Sus scrofa: one gene and its partners. The main gene of each other region encodes a partner of the protein of the gene in region 3 in a complex. Links are inferred from orthologs where the notes say so. Each region holds a gene or a part of one and is shown on either strand. Other genes may lie near its edges.

Evidence for each region.
Region 1: the proteins of KCNMA1 (region 3) and KCNMB4 are in contact, whole or in part, in a cryo-EM structure (PDB 6V22), measured with the Homo sapiens proteins. The link is inferred for Sus scrofa from reciprocal best matches to the Homo sapiens genes KCNMA1 and KCNMB4. Residues at the interface, in NP_001154824.1 of Homo sapiens: Phe98, Phe99, Leu102, Phe103, Leu106, Leu107, Arg109, Thr110, Tyr113, Leu114, Thr116, Val117, Asp238, Leu240, Trp241, Leu244, Pro327, Trp328, Asn330, Gln332, Leu367; in NP_055320.4 of Homo sapiens: Thr11, Glu12, Ala13, Glu14, Lys16, Ser17, Leu20, Leu24, Ile34, Phe35, Cys38, Trp39, His105, Thr164, His165, Val183, Leu186, Ile187, Leu190, Thr191, Ala194, Leu197, Ala198, Lys200, Ala201, Met204.
Region 2: the proteins of KCNMA1 (region 3) and LRRC26 are in contact, whole or in part, in a cryo-EM structure (PDB 7YNZ), measured with the Homo sapiens proteins. The link is inferred for Sus scrofa from reciprocal best matches to the Homo sapiens genes KCNMA1 and LRRC26. Residues at the interface, in NP_001154824.1 of Homo sapiens: Pro78, Cys79, Asp80, Ser81, Arg82, Gln84, Trp88, Ala92, Ser93, Val96, Thr97, Glu155, Trp158, Met159, Ser161, Val162, Trp165, Cys206, Leu226, Leu227, Phe229, Gly230, Leu231, Phe233, Ile234, Asp251, Phe252, Pro256, Phe259, Val260; in NP_001013675.1 of Homo sapiens: Gly204, Cys205, Gly206, Cys207, Ala208, Arg236, Leu237, Ala249, Phe250, His252, Cys253, Ala254, Gln255, Leu257, Arg260, Asp261, Leu262, Val264, Val265, Tyr266, Leu268, Gly269, Pro270, Ser272, Phe273, Ser276, Leu277, Cys280, Leu281, Leu283.

Annotation. Positions count from the first base shown.
Region 1 is NC_010447.5:34,589,462-34,593,104, reverse strand, and holds part of KCNMB4 (calcium-activated potassium channel subunit beta-4), read right to left. Parts: intron 2,456-3,643; coding exon 2,328-2,455; intron 1-2,327. UniProt on the Homo sapiens protein: Regulatory subunit of the calcium activated potassium KCNMA1 (maxiK) channel. Modulates the calcium sensitivity and gating kinetics of KCNMA1, thereby contributing to KCNMA1 channel diversity.
Region 2 is NW_018084833.1:724,601-728,463, reverse strand, and holds LRRC26 (leucine-rich repeat-containing protein 26), read right to left. Parts: upstream 2,552-3,863; 5' UTR 1,746-2,551; coding exon 1,073-1,745; intron 992-1,072; coding exon 669-991; 3' UTR 590-668; downstream 1-589. Other genes in the region: TMEM210 (transmembrane protein 210), read right to left, coding at 2,743-2,923, 3,034-3,063, 3,293-3,428, 3,571-3,700. UniProt on the Homo sapiens protein: Auxiliary protein of the large-conductance, voltage and calcium-activated potassium channel (BK alpha). Required for the conversion of BK alpha channels from a high-voltage to a low-voltage activated channel type in non-excitable cells.
Region 3 is NC_010456.5:79,560,391-79,564,033, reverse strand, and holds part of KCNMA1 (calcium-activated potassium channel subunit alpha-1), read left to right. Parts: intron 1-1,437; coding exon 1,438-1,548; intron 1,549-3,643. UniProt on the Homo sapiens protein: Potassium channel activated by both membrane depolarization or increase in cytosolic Ca(2+) that mediates export of K(+). It is also activated by the concentration of cytosolic Mg(2+).

The DNA of each region.
Region 1 (3,643 bases), on a different chromosome or scaffold from region 3:
AGATTTAGATGCAAACAAGGAAACTTTTTCTAAACAAGGATACCTGAGAGGCTGGCTATGGGAAGCTGGGAAAAGGTTTCCTAACCTCAAGAAAAATATACCAGGAGGGATAGGTCGCTGTCTTTTTTTTTTTTTTTTTTTTTTGTCTTTTTGCCTTATCTTGAGCTGCTCCCATGGCATATGGAGGTTCCCAGGCTAGGGGTCCAATCAGAGCTGTAGCCACTGGCCTATGCCAGAGCCACGGCAATGCAGATCTGAGCTGCGTCTGCAACCTACACCACAGCTCACAACAATGCCAGATCCTTAACCCACTGAGCAAGGCCAGGGATCGAACCCGAAACCTCATGGTTCCTGGTCGGATTCGTTAACCACTGAGCCACGATGGGAACTCCATACCAGGAGGGATAGGTTGCTTTCTGGCTTTGGATATTGCTGTGCCTGGCTATGACATCTGGAACCACAGCCACCATATTGTATCCATGAGGGGAGCCACCCAGAGGTAAAACTGAGATGTAGAAAGGAGCAGCATTCTTAATGATGTTAAGGCACTGTATCAAACTACCCTACTACTGGTCCACCTGTGCATTCTTGAATGCATGAAATAATCAATTTCTGAATTATTATGCTACTTTGAGTCAGTTTTCTGTTGTCCTGCAGCAGATGGCATCCTAAGTGGTATACAAATAAATCAAACTTGAAGATCAAGGGAAGCCATCCAGAGATGGTAATATCAGAGGCGAAGGCAGAACAAGGCAGTCAAGAAGCAGGAGAAGCAAATTAAAACACATGGCAATAAACATATAAGATATTCTTGGAACTTCATATGGATAAGAGTGGCTATTGAACAGACTATAAGCATGGAGATAAAGCTGGAGAGGAGGGCATCTGGGGTGGGAGCTTGAGGAGGCTTGCATGCTGTGAACTGGATGAAATGTGGCCACAAAACCTTTGTGGCTTCTTCTGGCAGGAAGCCGAGTCTATTTCAACCTCCTGTGAATCTGATCAGCCTCATGATTTGCTCTGACTGGTAGAACATGTCCAAAGGGATGTTACGTGAGCTCCAGAGACAAGGTCTGGCTCTCTTTACGTGCTCTCCTGAGGCTGCCGTATTGTGAGGAAGGCAGTCCTGCCTGCTGGGGGATGAGAGGCCAGGTGGAAGAGGAAGGAGTGCGCTTCAGCTGAGCTGGCACCATGTGCTGGGCATGAGGGAGGAGGCCACCGTGGACCACGTGGCAAGTCCCCCCATCATCTGACTGCACCTGAGCCCAGGAAGGACCAGCAGATGAATCTCCTAGCCAACCCACAGAATCATTAAAAATAAGAAATCACTGTTGCAGAAGGTGACTAGGTTTAGGGTGGTTTGTTACACAACAACAGATACTGGATACACAGGCCATGCCAAGATGTTTGGACTTTACTCTGAAGACTATGAGGAGTAACCTGATCGGACTCATGTTTTAGAAAGATCGCTTTGGCAGTGATGTGCAGAATACTTTGGACAGGGATTGGGGTGCAGGGCAAGGGTAGAAGAACTGGTTAAAGGACTGTTATGCTAATAGGGCTGAGCAACAGTGTGAATCTGAACAAAAACAGGGGCAAGGGAAGGCAGAGAGGAGTTAATGCAGGCATGAAATTAATGGGATGGTGCATATAGATTATGAAGTGTCAAGGAGAAAAGTGAGCTAAGAATTAGTCCAAGTTTCTGGACTAGGTAAATGAGTGGACGACAGTACCATTCACTAAGAGAGAGGCTATGGGAGGAAGAGAAAGTCAGACAGAACTGCGGAACAGCAAGCAGTTGAGAATACTGGATAAATGCTTGATGAACAAATTACTGTGAACAATCTGGGTGGCACTGAAATATCCTGGTGCAAGGAGCCACTGCTATGTGGCATGACTTGAGTTTTAAGTCAATTACAGTTTTCATGGTGTGAACTCCTTTCATGGACACTTCATCAGGACACAAAGGGGAAAAAACGGTAAGATTTGATGTCTTCCAAAATGCTGATCAATCTGCATATTGTCCATTGCATTAATCGCCAATTCTCAGGGAACATTTCCAGTGTACAATGTTCCTACCTAAAGGCACTTTCTTAGTGGAGCCAGAGGGTAAACTCTATGGCACAAGTTCTTTTTTTTGGCCACAGATTCTCGACATGCCTCCCATCTTGTAGAGCAAGGAGGGGCTTCTCCAACTTGATGCCAGAAAGAGCGAGACCATCTCCATCTCAGATACTTTGTCAAGCGTGCACAATTTATGATTTACTAATACAACACCTACGGAGGCTACAAACAGCTTTAATATGCACATGTAAACATTGGCTTACCTTTGAAATTGATTAAAATAGCAAGTAAATGGCTGGGAACCAATCTCATCTTTCCAGTACTGTTGCCAATTCATGACACTTTCCAAGTTCTTCTGATTTTCTCTCTTACAGGGAGGGATATAGGAGCACTAACAAAATAGAACACAGAAAGTAAACCTATTATTCTACAGAACATTGAAATACAGTCCTTTTTTTTTAATAGAGAGATGGCATTATGCTGATAGGAAATCTAATTCTGACCTACTTAATTTCTAATTTAACCAAATTGAAATTGCTAAGCTATTTCAGATTTCTAATTTGGCGCAATTACAGAAAGTATTCCAATAACAAAAAAATAGGCCCCAAATAACTTTCAGTCATTATAGTCTAAAGATACTTTATAAACAATTAGTTACAACCTATAAGCAAACCGAAAGCATAATATACTCTGTCTTTGAGGGCCTGTCCATCAACAAAGGGAAGCAACACAAAAGGTCGTTTTCATCCTCAATTTCTAATGGACCTTGATATTTTCCTCTCCTACTATTAATTAACAAATAAAGCATGTAGCTCTGCTCAGATATTGCTCTCAACCACTGAAACTCCAGTTTTCTTGCTTGCTTTTTAGGGCCTCACCTGTGGCATTTGGAGGTTCCCAGGCTAGGGGTCCAATCAGAGCTACAGCTGCCAGCCTACACCACAGCCACAGCAACGCCGGATCCTTAACCCAATGGGCAAGCCCAGGGATTGAACCTGCATCCTCATGGATCCTAGCCGGGTTTGTTAACTGTCTTTTTGCCTTTTTTTTTTTTTTTTTTTTTGTCTTTTTGTCTTTTTGCCTTTTTTTTTGTCTTTTTGCCTTTTCTGGCACCGCTCCCGGGAATATGGAGGTTCCCAGGCTAGGGGTCTAATCAGAGCTGTAGCCACCGGCCTAAGCCAAAGCCACAGCAACAAGGGATCCAAGCCGTGTCTGCGGCCTACACCACAGCTCATGGCAACGCCGGATCCTTAACCCACCGAGCAAGGCTAGGGATTGAACCCACAACCTCATGGTTCTTAGTCGGATTCGTTAACCACTGAGCCATGATGGGACCTCCTAAGAGCTGATATTTCTTTCAGCTCTACAACTGGAACTAGAGTCTGGTGCTTCATCTCATTCTGCTCTCAGATGTTTAACCAAGGTGTTTCAGTATTAGCAAACAAGAAAAAATCCATTATCTTTACAGCATCATTTGAGCCGCATTATTTTAGAGCATATATTTTGTCAATACCTTCTCACCATCTTCTGGTAAAATACAAACTTTTGAGTACTATGTACAAAGTTCTCCATGATCTCG
Region 2 (3,863 bases), on a different chromosome or scaffold from region 3:
AGAGGCAGGGCCCTGGGGTCTCTGAGCAGGGGAGACGGGCTACCTTGGCCCCCGGGCGGAGGGGCCTGGAGCAGAGACTGAAGCCCCATCCTTCCCCAGCCACTACCAGCGCCACCGTGGGGGCCCCTGGCCCCAGCTGGCGGGGTCGCCTCCTCCTGCAGCGCCCGCACCTCCCAGCCTCCGCTCCACCTCTCTCCTCTTCTTGCCCACACCCTCCTCCGCTGGACCCTGCCCTTGCCCACTGCAAACCCTGACCCCCCCCTTCCCCTGCCAGCCGGCGGCCGCCTCCCAGGGGCGCGCGCTCGGGCTCCCCACTGCCTCGCACCTTCTCCGGACTCCGCGAGGGCTGAGCCTTCTCTTGGCCTCCTCTGGCCTGCTGCCCAGGATGGGCCTCCCCAGACGCTAGCTCGGGACTGTCCTCAGCCCTGCGCGCCGCCTTGTACAGGCCCAGCCCTTCCCGTGTCCAGGCGCGTGCCTCCCCCGCTCCTCGTGCGCGACCGCGCGCTGCCCCGCTGCCCCAGGGGCCCGGCGCGCACCGACCCCCGACCCGGTGTGTGCAGTGGTGATGCCAAAAGGAATGTCACGAAACTTTCGCTCAGTGTCGCTTGTTGCCTGCAGGGAGTGTGAAAGAGGGGACCGGGCAAGAGCCGAGGGCAGCCGCAGCCCGCTCACGCTTGGGCGGTGCCGGCCGCGGGGCTCCCGGGGTCCGCGGGCGAGGCGGTGCCGGAACCGGGCTCCGGCAGTCTCTTCAGCGGGTGGCGGGCGGCGGCGGCGGCGCGGTGGCGGCGCGCGCGGCAGGCGGTGAGCAGCGAGCCCAGCCCCAGGCAGGTGGCCAGGCTGGCGAGGAAGGAGGCCGGCCCGAGCGCGTAGACCACGGCCAGGTCGCGCAGGGCAAGCGGCTGTGCGCAGCGGCTGAAGGCGGCGTCGGGGAGAGCGGCCAAGGGGCTGAACGTCAGGCGCCCGGGTGACACGCAGAGCAGCGTCTCGGCCTCTGCGGGACACGGGCGCGGCGTCAGGCGGCGGCGGCGGCGGCGGCGAGGGCCCGGCCCCGCCCGCGCTCCCGAGGGCTCACCTGGCGCGCTGCTCGGGTGCCGGCGCAGCCAGGCGCAGAGCGGGCGCAGCGCGCAGCCGCAGGCCCAGGGGTTGCCGCGCAGGCGCAGCGTGTCGAGGGCGGGCAGGCCGGCCAGGAGGCCCCGCGCGAGCGCCGGCAGCTCGTTGTCCCGCAGGTTGAGCGCGCGCAGCAGCGGGAGCGCGCCCAGCGCGGCGGGCTCCAGGCGCGCCAGCCGGTTACCCGCCAGCGAGAGGTCGCGCAGCGCCCGCAGTGGCACGAAGGTGCCGGGCACCAGCACCTCCAGCTGGTTGGCGCTGAGGTCGAGCTGCTGCAGCGCGCCCAGGCCCCAGAAGGCCCACGCGTGCACCCAGCGCAGGCCGTTCTCGTGCAGGTCCAGACGTAGCAGCGCGCCAGCGCCCACGAAGGCGCCGGGAGGCAGCGCCCGCACGCGGTTGTGGTCCAGCAGCAGAATACGCACGCTCTTTCTCAGGCCCCCCGGCACGGCGGGCAGCGCGCGCCCGGAGCAGTTGGCCTGGCCGCCCGGCGCGCACACGCACGCCTCCGGGCAGTCCGGGGCGCCCGGGGGTCCGGAGGGGGTGGCTGCTGGGAGCGCCTGGGTCCAGACTGGCCACGGCGACAGCAGCAGTAGCCACAGCGGCGGCAGCCGCCGCGAGAAAAAGGAGGGGCTGCCCATGGGGGCACCAGTTGGAGGCCAGCTGCCGGCGCGTCTCTGGAGCCTGTCCGTCCCCGGGGCGCCGGCACAAATATTAACTCTCCGGCCCAAGTGCAGGCAGTTCCTGTCCCACAGCTGGTCCCGCGCCTAGGGCGGAGGCTGGGCACACAGCCAGCGCCGGGCACTGCCAGCCACCTGTCCCGAAGCTCTGAGCTCTCCTTGGCTCCACTCCAGCAGCAGTACTGACAAGAAGCCACCCCTCTCTTGACCTGACCATGGGCGTGGTCCACCACCCCACACCCTGGCGAGGCCTGAGCAACTGGACCACACCGTCCGTCGCCCCCCCACCAAACTCAAACTCAGGGATGGACACACGGAATGGGACCTGGAGGGAGCCCAGTCTCCGCCTGTCTCTGGCACCACAACGTGATCCTGGCGCACACATGCACACGCAGTCCCATGGCGAATGACTGCTGGGGCACAAGCACCCTATTCAGCCCGAGCCCGGAGGACAGGCGAGGGGGGCAGAGGGCTGCACACCTGCAGAAGCGGGGGCATTGTCACCCCTGCCCAACCTTGCCCTCCAAGGACTCTCCCGGAACTTCAAGGAGACTGTGGGTGGCGCAGGGGCACCAGCCCAAATCCTCCTGTCAAACACTGCTCCCTCTGGAGTCACTGGAGTTGCATCGGTTCCCTGGGGTGGGGGTGGGTGGCAAGGGCCCACCCGGGCCTGCCAGCTTCAGGGACAAAGCAGCAGGAACGAGCCGGGCTGAGGCCACGACAGGAGGAAGTGGAAGGACCAGGGGTGGGGCTCCCTACCCTGGAAGGTGGACAGGAGGCGCCTAGCACGGGCACTGGGCACCCCACTGAGGATGAAGGAGGCGACCCGAGTGTGTGTGCCCACACCCCTCCCACGGCCCAGAAGGCATCTGCACAGGGGCTCCCGGGGGCAGCAGGGGGAGGCTCAGAAGCACTAAATACTATTTATTTCCCCTCCCTGAGCTGCCCCAAGCCCTACTCAGGTGGTGGGGGCGGGCGGCTCCTCCAGGTTCCCGGAGTCCATGGTGATAGCTGTGAGGCCTTGATCTTCCAGGGGAGGCATCATGGAGGCGTCCAGGTCGGGGTCCATGAGGTGGGACTCCACGTGCACCGTGTGCAGGTCCATGCGATCCTCCTGAACCCCAAAGTGCCCCACCAACCTGCACAGCACGGTCCAGGTCAGGCAGCCTGACGTATCCGAGCCACCCTCCCCGGGGCCAGCAGCAGGGGCCCCAGCTCACCCTCAGGGTCCTCCCCTGGGGTCACTCACCTGCTGTCCATGTGTCCAGGGCATGTTTCACTGGGGAGCAAAGATAAGATGTGAGTCCGGGAACAGTGGGGGTGGCCTCCAAGAGCCCAGAAGTGCTCCGCACACCTCTCCCCAGTCCAGCCTGGGAAACGCCATTCCCAAGTCCCTGGTGACCTCGCCCAGGAGCAGAGGGCCCTCCCCCGGCAAGACCAAGGGCCTGGGATGGGCAGCGTAGCTCAGAGGCCCTCATCCACCCACCCTGACCCCGGGGCTCACGCACCCCTTGGCTCGAATGACGCCCATCGCCACAATGACGAGGGCGCAGAAGCAGCTGGCGCTGACACCCGCCAGCACCACCAGCAGGGCAATGAGGGCCTCGCGGCTGAGGCCAAGGCTGCACTCGCAGTAGGTTCCAGCTGCAGAGACAGGGCCCACAAGGCCAAGGGTCTGTCGTCACCTGCCAGCGGATGGCCCCAGAGGCCACCCCGCACCCCGGTGGCCAGCAGGACGAGGGAGGGGCCCTGGCTGGGGGCGGGGCTTGGGGACAAGAGGAGGCACCTGCAGCAGGGATGGACAAAAGGGACAAACACAGCAGGCCAAGCGGGCTGCCAAGCAGGCAGGAGTCAGGCTGGGGACAGGGGGCCATGTCCAGCCCCCGCCCCGCGGCACACCTCTGGACGGAACTCATCGGAAGGTGCTGACCTCACAGTGGGGCTGTGAGGCCGGGGGCGGGGGCAGGGCCCGTGCGCTGCACTGCCCTCGGGCGCTGGGATTCGAGGCGCCCTGGGCGGGCGGCCCCGGCGCAGGGGGCAGGGGCCTGGGAGTCATCCAGGTGTGCCTGGCCGGGTCCA
Region 3 (3,643 bases):
TCCATAATGGCGATATTATTAACTGCCTTGTACGTATTATTGATTTACTCTTTGTTCTGCATCATTATCCTTTCACCAATGAGTTTACTGCATTATTCTCACATACTTAGTCAAGCACCAAATTACAACGAAAGGGCAGCTCCTGTAATGGCATCTAATGGAACATTGCATAAGCGATCATCACTGCCTCCTCTTAGGAGCTGCCTCCAGCCAATGAGCCTTCTGCCTTCTTGGAAAGTGCTCAGAGCAATTACCAAGTGCACGGGACCTGGCCATTCTAAATTTTTCCTACCAAATGACTGTTTTGCCACCTGCCCATGCTGCAAAGCCCAGCCAGGGAGTCAGCCTCTGTCACTACCAGCTGGAGGGGCACAGGGACCTGGGCTGAGCCTTTTGCTACAGGCCCTTTACTGGAAGCCAGCGGGTTCCCTCGCCACATCCAGTCATGGGGTTAACTCTTGCACAAGGGAGCTTACTCCTGATTGAACGTCATATATATGAATATAAGTGGCCAAAGTATAGCCCAGTGTCAAAATTGGCCCAGGAGCCCAAAGGTGGTGGGAGGCTCTGTTGTTCAGTAGTTCTGGAAGATGGACTCTTCTCCTCGGGGTAAGCCATCGTCTCCAGAAACAGAACTGCCATGACACAGGCAAATTTCATTCCCACCCCTTCCTGCTTTTCTCCCCATCTTGAGGTAAATTTCTTTGTCTCTTGTGGAAATCTCACAACCCCTAAGGAAGCAGCTGTCTGGGGAGGCACAGCCTGCGGCATGATCTCAGATTCCATAGGAGTCCCAGCCCCATTTAGCCCTGAGTGATGCTCACTTACTGTAAAGTGTTACATGCCCCCATTGTCGGAGGAGTTATGGCGGAAAAATGCAAAATTTCCTTTTTACTGCTTATGGCCAGCAGAGCCCATAACGTGTCAAGCTGCACATTAGCCACCCTGATAAAAGTCCGCTTTCTTACACACAAAATCATCGTTTCAGCAAGATTTGTTATCTCATTACCTGATAAGCTCTATGTCATAAACCAAGACTCATTCGGTAAATCTCCCGGGAGGACGCTTTGTGGGCAAAAAGGGAGAGATATGAATCTGCAGGGGACCTGATAATGCAGCATTTAAGCACAAGCATAATGTCACTTATTGTTAAATGCATAAAACCACTTGGCCAAACGGTTGGGCTTTTAATAGGATTTTGTGCAGCATCAGGTGAGAAGCCATATGCTTTTCTGTTGAGGAGGCTCTGAGCGCCTTCCGGCCCTGCTGCTATGCCTCGCCGCCCTCTGGGGAAGGGAGCTGGGCTTTAACAAGGCCTCTTTGGAGACCGTGATGCTTCTCTGCAGCTGTGCGCTTCCTCTGTCTCGCAGGGGTTGGGGGGTGGCGGTGCCGGCTCACCCCTGGGCTGACCTCACTTAACTGGCCTCTCTCATTCAGGCACATTGTGGTCTGTGGACACATCACTCTGGAGAGCGTTTCCAACTTCCTAAAGGACTTTCTTCACAAGGACCGGGACGACGTCAACGTGGAGATCGTCTTTCTTCACAAGTAAGAGGTCCCTGTTCTTTCAAGACCCTCCTCCCAACCAGGCCCAGTGAGGGAGGGGGACTCCTGGGGTGTCTGTAGGAGCAGTGATGTAGGGGAGGTCTCAGGGTACAGTGATGTAGGGGAGGACAGGGTGGAGATGGATCAGCTCCCATTTGCACTGGCCTCACTGAGAGGATGACATGGAACTGACGGAAAGAGAAGCAACACCCTCCTTCAGAGATGAGAGCAGCACCTGTTCCTGTGGAGGCGATTCTGGAAGATGACAGCGGGATCCGTTATGGGTCAAACATGTCATTACTCGCCCCCCAGCTATTTGGATCTGTGTGGTCCAGATGTGTCCAGTGTCTGATATGGATGACTAGCTGCATGGCGTGGGTTCTTAATGACTGCAGGACTGACATAGGGACAAAGCAAGGCACAGACATAAGAGGAAGCAAGGTGCAAGGTAATAATAATAGAAACAACAACTGACGTTCCTGGAAACCTTCAGTGTAGGACATGGTCCTGGTCCCCACGCATGCCATCTCTCCTTAAATCAATAGAGGGAGGAAAAAGTATGGGCTCCATTCACAGTACATTCTAAATCCCGACTCAACCAGTTACTGAACAAGCTCCTCAACCTCCCTAGGCCTCAGTTTCCACATAAGATGGGGAGATCAAAGTGGTTTCTATCTACCTTCTTGGGCTATTGTAAGAATGAAAAGAAGTAACCCATTCAAAGCACACAGAGCAGAATCAGGCACACAGTAAGTGTTCAATAAATGTTAGCTATTATCGTGAGAGAGAAAATACCTTAGGATGTACAGTGAACTTAAGAGGTAGATTTTACCATGTTTGTTTTATGGGTGAGGAAAGCAAGGTATCTCTCTCTACTCAGTGCCGTTGAGATTCTTTGCCCGATCCCCTTTTAGGTAAAAGGTAGTTCGCCACAGGGATGGGGAGTTGGGGGGCTCTGCCATGATGACCTGGGTGGCACTATCTTCTTGTATGGACATGGGGCCATCATGGGGCCAGTCTTAGCCTCACCTTGCCAAGGCACAAAGCTCACATGTTGCTGTTGGTTCCATACAAGGTTGACACCCAGGACTCAATTCTGCTCTGAGATCCCACTGAGGCTGGCTCCCCTGTAGCTGTTCTGTGTGTCTCCTTCCTTTCCTGAATAAGATACTGGCCACCATGTTGGAGCACCAGCATTTTTGTTCTTAGCAGTGACTTCTGCAAGTTCTGAAAAGACCAGTCAGGCCATGGGCACCGGAGCAGAAGCCGTAGATCCAATTCATCCCTTAGCTATTGATGACCAGCTGTGGGGCGCATCCTATGCTGGGTGTTTGGAAGGTTCAAGACAAATATGGTGTATAGAATGGCATATGGGTCCTGCCCTCATATTGTGTGAGCATTTTAAGACAGGCATGTGTGCAACAATTGGAGCACAGCATGGGTCCTGTGTTAACTGACTCAAGTCAGTTTCATCAAGTGGCAGAATAACATAGGGGATCTGTACTGGGGAGAGACCACCACTTCTTGTGTTACCAGGATGGGGGGGCTTCCTGAAGGAGGCCTGACTTGTAATGGATCTGGAGGACGGGTTGGATTTGTACAAGCAGCTGCTTTGCTCTTGCCCATTGCTTTAATCTGAATCGACAAGCTGGCTGCTAATTCTTCATTTGCTGGGATTCACCTCTGGATCCCCAGCACCTACCAGTGCCAGCCTTGTAGTAGGTGGCCCAGGTAATTAACTTCCCAAAGACTTGGATTAATAACACACCTTCCTCTAGAGTTGTTTTGAGGTTTAAATAAGTTACTAGTCATTAAGGGCTTAGAATGGTGTCTGTCACATAGTAAATGCTCAAGAACATTAGCAGTTATTATTACTAAAGACTACCTGGATGTTAGGCAAGGGTTGATTAACTCAGTCCTTAGCACCTAGTAGGTTCTAACTAAATGTCATCATCTCCCAGTACCTAACAGAGTACTTAGCACAGTACCTAACAGAGCATAGGTATTTTTCATCTCTGAAAGAATAGGTCAACCAGTGTTTTAATCCTTGTCCTGCAAAGGGAACGATGGCCGTGTAGCCCAGAACTAAGAATGTTGA